Caenorhabditis elegans: one gene and its partner. The protein of the gene in region 2 binds, or shares a complex with, the protein of the main gene of each other region. Each region holds a gene or a part of one and is shown on either strand. Other genes may lie near its edges. A codon is read from its position in the direction of its gene.

The links.
Region 1: the proteins of xrn-2 (region 2) and paxt-1 are in contact, whole or in part, in a crystal structure (PDB 5FIR), measured with the Caenorhabditis elegans proteins. Residues at the interface, in NP_496958.2 of Caenorhabditis elegans: Arg548, Phe551, Asp552, Val553, Asp557, Phe560, Arg563, Tyr589, Pro591, Tyr592, His593, Asp647, Asp648, Ser649, Pro650, Ile651, Ile652, Asp653, Tyr655, Pro656, Ala657, Asp658, Phe659, Arg660, Leu675, Leu676, Pro677, Phe678, Asp680, Arg683; in NP_001379143.1 of Caenorhabditis elegans: Lys12 (codon at 2,688), Leu13 (codon at 2,685), Trp14 (codon at 2,682), Ser16 (codon at 2,676), Asp17 (codon at 2,673), Asp18 (codon at 2,670), Ile37 (codon at 2,104), Gln38 (codon at 2,101), Gln40 (codon at 2,095), Cys41 (codon at 2,092), Gln44 (codon at 2,083), Leu45 (codon at 2,080), Asn48 (codon at 2,071), Leu52 (codon at 2,059), Gly53 (codon at 2,056), Cys54 (codon at 2,053), Glu55 (codon at 2,050), Tyr56 (codon at 2,047), Ser57 (codon at 2,044), Thr59 (codon at 2,038), Leu60 (codon at 2,035).

The regions. Positions count from the first base shown.
Region 1 is NC_003279.8:8,594,197-8,599,058, reverse strand, and holds paxt-1 (Partner of xrn-2 protein 1), read right to left. Parts: upstream 2,727-4,862; 5' UTR 2,722-2,726; coding exon 2,615-2,721; intron 2,106-2,614; coding exon 1,988-2,105; intron 1,940-1,987; coding exon 1,842-1,939; intron 1,794-1,841; coding exon 1,706-1,793; intron 1,658-1,705; coding exon 1,527-1,657; intron 1,480-1,526; coding exon 1,274-1,479; intron 894-1,273; coding exon 634-893; 3' UTR 508-633; downstream 1-507. Other genes in the region: ddx-52 (putative ATP-dependent RNA helicase DDX52), read right to left, coding at 39-148, 200-401; R05D11.9 (Sphingomyelin phosphodiesterase 4), read right to left, coding at 2,989-3,147, 3,196-3,314, 3,360-3,517, 3,572-3,700, 3,752-3,945, 4,282-4,616, 4,666-4,838. UniProt on the Caenorhabditis elegans protein: Plays a role in maintenance of steady-state concentration and turnover of microRNAs (miRNA) by degradation of mature miRNA in complex with the exoribonuclease xrn-2.
Region 2 is NC_003280.10:14,153,523-14,158,767, reverse strand, and holds the start of xrn-2 (5'-3' exoribonuclease 2 homolog), read right to left. Parts: upstream 3,001-5,245; 5' UTR 2,982-3,000; coding exon 2,694-2,981; intron 2,364-2,693; coding exon 2,073-2,363; intron 1,165-2,072; coding exon 502-1,164; intron 1-501. Other genes in the region: rpl-37A (Large ribosomal subunit protein eL43), read right to left, coding at 3,199-3,474; bop-1 (Ribosome biogenesis protein BOP1 homolog), read left to right, coding at 4,395-4,565, 4,617-4,768, 4,834-5,245. UniProt on the Caenorhabditis elegans protein: Possesses 5'->3' exoribonuclease activity. Plays a role in maintenance of steady-state concentration and turnover of microRNAs (miRNA) by degradation of mature miRNA. Degradation role is enhanced when in complex with paxt-1.

The DNA of each region.
Region 1 (4,862 bases), on a different chromosome or scaffold from region 2:
TTTTTCAAATAAAAATTAAATTTCTGTAGAAATCTCACCAATTTCTGCATTCTCTTTTCCACGTCGCCAACGGTCTCCTCCACTTCATTTTCAGAATCTCCGTCAGAATCATGTACTCTCTTTCGTGATGCAAGAATTTCAATCGACGCTGAATATTACAAATGGTTTATAAGTATTATACTAAATAGACAATATTAACCTTTCTTTTTATTTTTCTTCACTTTTTTCTCAATTTTTGACTCGACTTTTCCGATCATTTTTTCACGAAGTTCGTCATATCTCCGAAGCGATTCTTCTGTGATCGTTGATAGTTCTTTCTTTTTGTTAAGATCATCGGCATCTTTCTTTTTCGGTTGTGATCTTTTAATACCGAACGAAAGGGTTCTAAATGCCAAGGACATCTGAAATCACATATAGGTATACAGATTCGGGTGAACATTTCGAAAGAGGTAAAAATGATGAGATTCAACATCATTATAAAAAATTAGAGTAAAAATGCAACGATTAGTCAGTAAAATTCATAGGAAATTTGATGTAGTTGTATAAAAACCAAAGCCAAATATAAATAAAACAATAGAAATTATATTCACGAGTGCAAAAAAAGTAAGCTCCCCTAGATCAAGCTAATTGAGATTATTGGAATGCAAGAGAGCTGTGAGATTTCATAGAGTTAATGACGTTGATTTTATCGTTGAGAATCAGTTGACACACGTCTTCGCTCATTTGATTCGCGATCGTTGCCATCGCTGGTTTAGTGCATTCAGTGCTGGATAAAACACGAGAAGATAGAAGAAGATCGGCAGTGACGAGATCAAGTTGTTGAGACCATCCTTCCAATTTTTGAGTATTTTGAATCATTGACATGTTAACTGCATCCAAATATGTTGTAAGACCTGAAAAAGTTTTCTAAATACATTTTTTCAAAAGAAGGCAAAATTATTTGTTTTCCAATTGCCGTTCGGATTGAGTACTGTAACAAACTTTCGAGTTTTTTTCTTCCAATTTTCAAATATATTTTCTAAAAATAATTGTTTCAGGGAACGGCATCCATAAGTACCGGAAGCAATATTTTAAAATTTTTAAACGTGTTGCCGCTAATAAAAATGGGTTTACAGCCGAAAATTGATAAAACGAGCTTGCAATCAAATTCAACAATCCCACTTCTAAAATGATTTTTGAAGAGATATTGTTCCAACTTTTATAATCCTTACTTTTGAGACCAAATGTTTCATTCAATTTAGTGATACTGTTTTTTTAAATGAAAAAAGCTCGCCTTTAACTGTATGTGCACCATTAGAAACTGCTGATTTAATTTTTGCAAGTCTTCTGGTGACTGATTTAGCGTAACACTCGTCCACCGGAACTCCATCAAATCTAATTTCGTAGCTTTCTTCGTGAACAGCGGCGTCACACGAAAGAATGCTTTCAATTAGAGTATTGATTGCACAATCCCTTGGATCAACACAGTATTGGGAGAATCTGAAAGAACATGAAATTCAAATAGTTTCGAAGATTTTTATACAAACGTATGTCTGAAGGCCACATATCGATCGATAGTTATTTCAATTTTCTGGTTAATCTTGTTCACGTGCCACTTCATGAGACAACTATTCGTGGCAGTTTTCATCATTTGTTCGCCCGTTAGATGGTGAGGTGTCTGAAATTAAAAGATTAAAAGATTAAAAGTTAAATCTGAAATGTTCACCATTGCAAGAGATGCCTTGAGTTTTCCAAGACGTTCATCAAAAGATTCACGAGCTACTGGCGATGGAGACTTTTCCATTTTTACTTTTCTGGAACAAAAAGATTGAAAATTGCAATTTTTGAAAAGTTTTTTTTACTTAGACTCATCAGAAGCTCCTTCTAAATCTGATGTCTTCACTGCTTGTCGCTTTTTCGCTGCAGATGCCTTCACGTAACTTCCAGTTTTTGTACGATCCTGAATATTAAATTTGAAATATATTTTTAAATAATGAAGATCACTTACTTTGTTAGCAGCAATTCCAGCACCCATTGTTCGAATCTTTTGCATTAAAGTCTGAGAATATTCACATCCGAGAAGTGTTACATTAATGAATAATTGTGAGAGGCATTGAAGTTGGATTCTGGAATTGAAAATTGTTTTAGAAATAGTACAAGTGTGATATTATAAAACTAATGTTTTTTTTTCCAGAACACAATTTAGAAACATTAATTTTTTAAATCTATAAAATTTGAAATCAAAACAAATCAGGCATGGGTGGTAATTCTACAAAATGACGTATTGCGCCATGTTTTTCCAACACTTCTCATTAAAAATTATGTTCAAAATATAGAAATTCACTTGATTTAGTTGAAAATATTATCAATTTTAACTGAAACATTCGAAAAAAGAGCTCAAAAAGGAATGAAAAACTCCAATTTTTTTCGATGATTGGTAGCTTTCAGGTGATTTTTGACAGCTTTTTTGAATATTTCAGCTGCATAAAATGATTTTTTTTTAAAGATAAATCAAGTGATTTTCTTTATTTTGGCACTAATTTTTAATGAAAATATTGGAACTCTAATGAAAATATTTGGAGCACATAGTGCAATAAGTCATTTTTCAGAATTGTCGGCCAGTGCTGAAACAAACTTCGGATAGTCATCATAATGTGCCAGCATGAATGCTTTTCGGAGCTCCCACGCATCGTCGCTCTCCCATAATTTCTTTTCAGCTTCCACGTCTTCTAACTTCCCCATTATTTCTGAAAATAAAGTATTTTTTCAATAGGATTTCCGTAAAAATAGAAACGGTAAGATATTTTAAAGCTGACATTTAAACTTGAAATAGATTATGAAAGAAAGCCGCGTTATGATTGAATGTTTACTCCATGAAAAAAGAAACGAACTAGAATTTGATTAGAAGAAAAAAATAAATTAAAAAGATTTGATTAAAATTCAGACAGAAAACAAAAAAAAACAGACGAGATGATGACAGTGGTGGAGCAGAGAAATCACAAACAAGTGTCAGTAAGATGATGAAGACCCGGAATCGAGCTCAATGAACAAGAGTACAGTGACCGAGAGTGCGATGAGAATCAGAGAGACAATTGTAAAAGTTAATCCGTATTTCAGAGCGAATAGTAGCCATATCATGAAGAAAATTGACTGGTAGCTGGCAAAATACTGCAAAAAAAACCAATTAAAATCGGCGGATAATCCCTTTTAAATTACCCGTAAACGAAGCAAAGGAGGTGATCGTATAATTCTTGCTGAATACGCTGGAACTGTTGCATTCGGATCTAGATTTGGCACCGGTGGATACATTACTTTACGAGCAATTGCACCAATTACTGAAATAACATGAATTACAAAAAAAACAATAATTTCCAACTTACCACTTTGTTGTGAATAATGATCTCCAATTTTCTGAACAAATGAAAGTTCGTTGAGCTTCTGAGCCAAAGAAGTCGTCAATTTAACAGCAATCCCAAGTTCGTAGCTTCTTGTTGGAGCTTTTGGATCATCTTTAATGCAATTGGAGTAGTCAAAACGTCTACAAAAGATAATATAATACGATAATATATAACGAAAGACAATTAAAACTAACTTTTCTCTATTCAAAACTTGTCGTTGTCCGATTGGTGTTAACAGCATATGATTTGATGGTCCATCAACAAAATGATCAGGTATTCCAAGACCAGATTTTGGTGTTTCGTTCAAAAGTGATGTGTATAATCTGAAATAATTTTTCAATCAATAAAAAGTGTTTTAATCAGTATTTTCTTACTTTTCCTTATGAAAAGTTTCATTCCCTGTTCTATTTGCCAATACAGAATCTTCCATTTCCGGCATAAAATGAGTTCCAACATAAGAATCGCTGTCTTTCATTAGTGTTAACAATTCGCTAACAAGTCTTCGACTGGACTGTGTTCTAGCCGAATCACCACTATAGAATAAAGAGTTCCAGAATCCTGAGTGTTCCTGAAAAAATAATTTGCATAGTTCTCTTAGATTGACCGAGATGGGCCCACCCATTTTTCGAAAAAAATAATTGGAAAAACATTCGTTGGAAAACGTGTTTAAATGATGAATTTAAAGATTTTTTAATATCGAATGGTGTTTTTTCTTTCAAATTTGCAAAAAATACGATAATTTTCAGCTTTTTATATAAATTTTTTTTTAGTTTTTGACAATTTTTTTCAAATAAAAAATGAGGCCGGGGTCTCGACCAGGCCGATCTAAAAAAAAATTGGGTCGACCCACGCAACAGGCCTTTTTTGTAAGTGAGTGTTTCATCTTGAAATGCTCAAAACTAACATCTTGTTCTTTCTGAATCGCACTCCGATGCATTCTAACAACCACTTGCATTTGTTTCAACAGTTCAAGAGAATGTGGTTGAATGTCTAGTTGGATATGACGGAGCAGAAGTGTTTGTGGCTCTTTCCATGCAAATTCTATGATAGCTCGCAGTGATCCAAGAAGCTCCTCGCACATTTCAAATGCCGAGAATCGTTTGAGAATCTTGCCAAGTATCACTTCATAGAATTCCACGTTTTTCTCAAAGAACTGACGATATTTGGCCGCTGGAGCGAAATCCGACGGATTTGACATGTTGTGATAACGCCAAGGACGGCAATAAGTAAGCCAGCACACTGAAATTATTTAACATTACGAGAAAAAAGTTTAAAGTAGTAAACCAACTTGTTATATCTCTAAAAACTATGGTTGTAGGCACTTGAGTTACGGAGCTTTTAAAGAAATCGTAAAGCGAAAATCTGAAAGGAGCAGAAGCCATCAAATCCAACTTCCAGTTATCAACTTCCGGATCGCCTGTGCTGAACTGACAGAACACGTGGAATTGTTTCAGGAGATATCTAAATGAATAATTTTTTGAAAAT
Region 2 (5,245 bases):
TTTTTCAGTTTTCCACAGCCAAAAAATCAAAAATTCCGCTTTTTTCCGGTTTCATAGCGGGAAAATAAGAAACTCTTTTTTTTTTTTTTGGGTTATTCATACCTTCGGTTTTCCGGTTTCTCCGGTTTTCCGGTCTCCGGTTTTCATAGCCGGAAAATCAAAAATTCCATTTTTTTTTCAGTTTTCCACAGCCAAAAAATCAAAAATTCCGTATTTTTCGGTTTTCAGAGCCGGAAAATCAAAAATTCCATTTTTTTTTTCAGTTTTCCACACCCAAAAAATCAAAAATTCCGCTTTTTTTCCGGTTTCATAGCGGGAAAATAAGAAACTCCGCTTTTTTTTTGGTTTTTCATAAGCGACAACAAAAATTCCGTTTTGTTTTTTCGGTTTTCCACAGTTGGAAAATCGAAAATTCCCCTTTTTTTTCAGTTTCTCAGAGCCGAAAAATCAAAAATTCCGTTTTTTTTTCGGTTTTCTAATGTCTCAGCGACACATCCTTGCCTGGAATCGCTCCTCATCCTGCTGTCTTCGCTTGAAAATCTCATCTTCGACGCGTCCGAGCCCCTTCATAATCATCTCGACCCGATCGAGCTCCGGGATCCCGTCCTTTGTCAGATAACCTTTCATCTGGTAGACCATCTCCTTATACAGCTTAATCAGTCTGTCAATTGCCCCTTCTCGGATCTCGAGCGATGGTAAATGTGGAAGGAAGTCGTTTCCGACGAAGAAGCACAGGAAAACCCAATCATCCAGAGCCCGCTCGACGTCGAATTTAAATGGAAGATTCGGCATTGAGAGCTCCTTTTCCAAGTACTCCCTGAGCACCGGGATCCGTAGAAAAATGAAATTCTTCTCTCGCTGCTCCGGCTTACAGTAGTCATCGCCCAAATCGGTCTCATTTTCGGCGCCTCTACACTCCTTCAGCTCATGACCGTACTGACCGCATAGATCACAAGCCCGCGGCTGATTCGGCACGAACTCCTCTCGGATAATATTGAAGTTGGCCTCGTGGGTGGCGATTCCGAGCATAATAAGGTCGGCGTCGGCTCCGCAGAGGCAGTGGACGGTGTTCGGGTCGTGAGCCGGGTTGCCACGTTGCTTTCGGACGTAGTCCATGATCTTGTGCTCGCCTTCGCCGGGAACATTCGCGTCGGAGAGGATGATCTGGAAATTTTAATTTTATTTTTAAAAAAATTTTAATTTCGAACCCAATTTTTGCTCATTTTTTGGTACAAAAAACAGAAAATTTTGATTGGATAGGTGAATTTTAGGGATTTAAGTCTCATTTTAGGCACCAAAAACCGAAAATTTTAATACAAAAGCAAAATTTTCGTTGTTTTGTCGAATTTTCCAAACAAATTGGACGATTTTCACCTGTAAAACCTAGATTTTTCGCTTTTTCTCTGTTGGGAATGAAATGTTGAGTTTATGTTTTCATTTCAAAGAGATAAAAATCAATTTCAAACGAAAATTAGCCAAAAAATGATAGAATTTTCGTAAATAAACATATTTTTCCGATTTTGAGCCCGAAAAACCATAAAATTTAATTAAAAATCAACTTTCTCGTCAAATAAAGCAAGATTTTTGGTCTTTTATCCAATTTTTAAAATAAAATGGACGACGATTTTCACTGTAAAAACTATATTTTTCGCCGCCATAACCATGTTGGGAATGAAATTTTGAGTTTATTTTCGAATTTCAAAGAGAGAAAATTCAATTTCAAACGTAAATTACCCGAAAATGTGATAGAACGTTCGGAAAAAAGTTTATTTTTCCGATTTTAAGGGCAAAAACTCAACTTTCTTGAATAAAGCAAAATTTTCGGTGTTTTGTCTAGTTTTTCAACTAAATTGGAGGATTTTCACTGTAAAAACTAGAGATTTCGCTTTTTTTTCATCAAGTTAATAGCTAGTTTTGTAACTTGGAGTTTTGCTAAAATTAAAAATGATGTTTCCTTGATTTCTGGCAATTTTCCGGCACATTCTATAACAAAAATCCACTGAATTTCCTTAAAATAGGGACTGTCAGAGTCAATTTTTCATCGAAATTCTCGAAAATTTCCAACTATTCACCTCAATATTAGCCCATGACGCGTCATTAGTGACCCGATCATGAATATAATATCGAAGAGCATCGGCGAGTCGAGCCATAAATGGTGTTCCAGGAGTAATACAGTTACTATCGAAATGAGCTTCTTCTTTCTTTTTCGGTGGCACAGCGATGCCTTCGGCCATCAATCGATTTCTTTGCTCTTCGATGCTCGCCTCCTTTTCAGCCATCTCTTTACTCGCCCGGAATCGACGACTTCGCTGCTGGTTCATCTTGGCTCGCGGAGCAACTCCATCGATCGCCATATAGAGAAGCTGGAATTTACGGGGGGTTTTTTCTAGCAAAAATCCATGTGGCGGGACCTTTTTCCAGAGTAGATTTTAAAGCTAAAAATGATTATTAACGTTAAGTGTTGAAGTATTCCGCGTCTTTTTGCTTAAAAAATGTTGAATTTTTGAGGTTTTGCTACCTTTCATTGAGTTCTTCACGCGAAAATCGCTATTTTTCACTATTTTCTAGGTAAAACGCTGGTTTCTAGCGCCTGGAAAATGCTCTTTTTGTTCAGGAAATTCATCAGCAGCGACCCTAGGCGACGTGGATCGTGGTTGGGACCCATTTCCACATTTTTTGAGGATTTTCCTTACCCTTCGCGGTCTGACAATCGAATAAATGCGATCGATGTACTCGAAAATGAGCGCGAACATCTCATCTTCGTTCTTCGGAGCCGGCCTGTCTTCTGGATGGGTGCACGGATGGATAATACCGTTCATATCCAGGTATAGATTATCAAACTCCTGGAAATTCGGATTGGGCTGTGTACAATCTACGGGGACCCGGTTGCCATCCTGGTCTCGCTGACGATCTTCATTGGCATTCACCACGGTTGCCGGATACTTTTTAGTCAACCATCTGAAGAATGCGGGAACTCCCATTCTCGGAGTTTTATTTTCTCTAAATTATCAAATTGCTTTTACGGAAGGAGACGAACGGAGAAAAAGTATTAGACGAATGAAGCGAGGTTAAGCTCGAACATGACGGAGGCCCCGTTCGGGGGATTAATATGTATTAAAAAGAAGTAAAAAAAAAACAAAAAGGCGAATGTAGAACACATATTTATATGTGAAAAATTAACAACATTCAAAAGGATAATTATTCCTTAAGATCTCTCAGTCTTCTGATGGTGGATCTGACGGTAGCGGCGGTGACGGTTCCGTAGACGTAGGCTCCTCCGGCGACGACCTTGTGGCACTTGGCACAGTTCCAGATTCCGGTGGCCTTTCGCTTCATGGCCTCCTTTCCGCAGAACGAGCAGGTGTAGCGGGAGTGCTGTGCGACTTCGAGCTTCTTGGCCATCTTACGGAGGGAAGCACCATAACGGGTTCCGTACTTTCCGACGATTCCGACCTTCTTAGTTCTCTTGGCCATTTCGACTGGATTACCTGAAAAAAAGAAATGAGTGGTTTGCAAAAACAGAAGTAATTAATAGACATAATTTTGAGCGACGGAGCATTGAAAAATCGAAAATATAAACCAATAAAGCCAACTGCATTTTTGGAAGCGAGATAGAAGGATTAAGAAAGGTGAAATGTGTTAACGAGGAATAAAGTAATAAACAAGTTAACCGATTCAGCCTAGTGCGAAAGTGTTTCGAAAAAATACGAAATTTCCAGCAGAATTTCTACCAACAATCTAAATTCTATGTAAAGGACATATATTCATACTTCAAAGTTAAGAAATGTAGAAACGGTAAGAAGACGAGAAGAAAAAGTAACATTATTTTTCAACTGACCGCCAAAGCAGCAAAAAAAAGAAGAAAATTAAGGATATTTGAAGTTTTGAAGCCATGAACCAGAATATTCAGATAATTTAGATCGACAGAAGGATCATTTGTAGACTGATAACGCAGTTCGAGTCCTAATTCTTTTTTAAATCGTCAAACAGAAAAGTGGAGAAAATTTCGACAAATAGGCGGTAAATCAAGGGTTCTACTCGCAAATATTCAAAAATAAGCTTACAATTCAACAATTCTGATGGAAAATATTACTTTTATGAAAAAAAAATCGAAAAATTCAGCAGCAAAAAGGAAAAACGTTCGAAAGAGAAATTGAAATCGGAAAAATGTTGGGCCTAAAATCGCGACGCACTACGGTAGATGCAACGCGTGTCTCAATGGAGCGCGCTTGCACGTTGAGTTTTCTAGTCCCCCAACTTTCGCAATTAATTTTTCGAATGGAATTTCTTAATTTTCTCTTTTTCATCGATAATTCTTTACTTTCGCTTAATCTTTCTTCAATTTTCAAATGAATAATTCAAATATAACACTTAAATTAATATATTTCCATCAGATGGCTTCAACGTCGGCGGCAACTCCGCTGAAGAACAAGCGAAAGTTTGAAAATGGGAAAAAGAAGCCAAAAACGCTGAAAGACGAGTTTGGCGAGAAGCTCGACATCAAACCGGTGATAGTTCCTCCAAAGCCTGCAGACGAGTATGATTATGATTCTTCTGACGAGGAGGTTGGCTTATTTTTCATATTTTAGCATAAAATATATAATTTTTTGTTTAAGGATCTGCGAAACACGATTGGAAACATTCCAATTAAATGGTACGATGATGAGGATCACATTGGATATGACAAGTTTGGAGAGAAAATCGCAAAACCCGCGAAGAAAGGAGAAATCGAGACTTTCCTGGAGAAGATGGAAGATCCAGATTACTGGTAATTATGTGGTTAAAATCAATAAAATAAAGTAATTTTATATTAATTTTTTTAATTTTTTTCAGGCGAAAAGTGTTCGACAAGCAAACTGGCACTGATGTGAAGCTTACCGATGAGCAAATCGAAAAAATCCACAATATCGCGACCGGAAAGTACCCAACAATCGGCTACAACCCATACGAGCCGTTCCTCGACATTTTCTCCTCCCAAAAAGAAATCCATCCAATCGATAATCGTCCAGAACCTAAATCCAGATTTATCCCATCTAAAGATGAAATGCGAATGGTGTCCCGTATGGTCCACGCCATCAAAATGGGCTGGGCTAAGGGGCCGCGAGCCAAGAAGGAAGAGCACAAATCCTATGATCTCTGGGCTTCTGAGGATGCTCTTGACAATGTGACAAAGTCCCAGCTCTCCAGAATGCGTGTGCACATGCCGGCTCCGAAGGTGGCTCTGCCGACGCACGCCGAGTCCTAT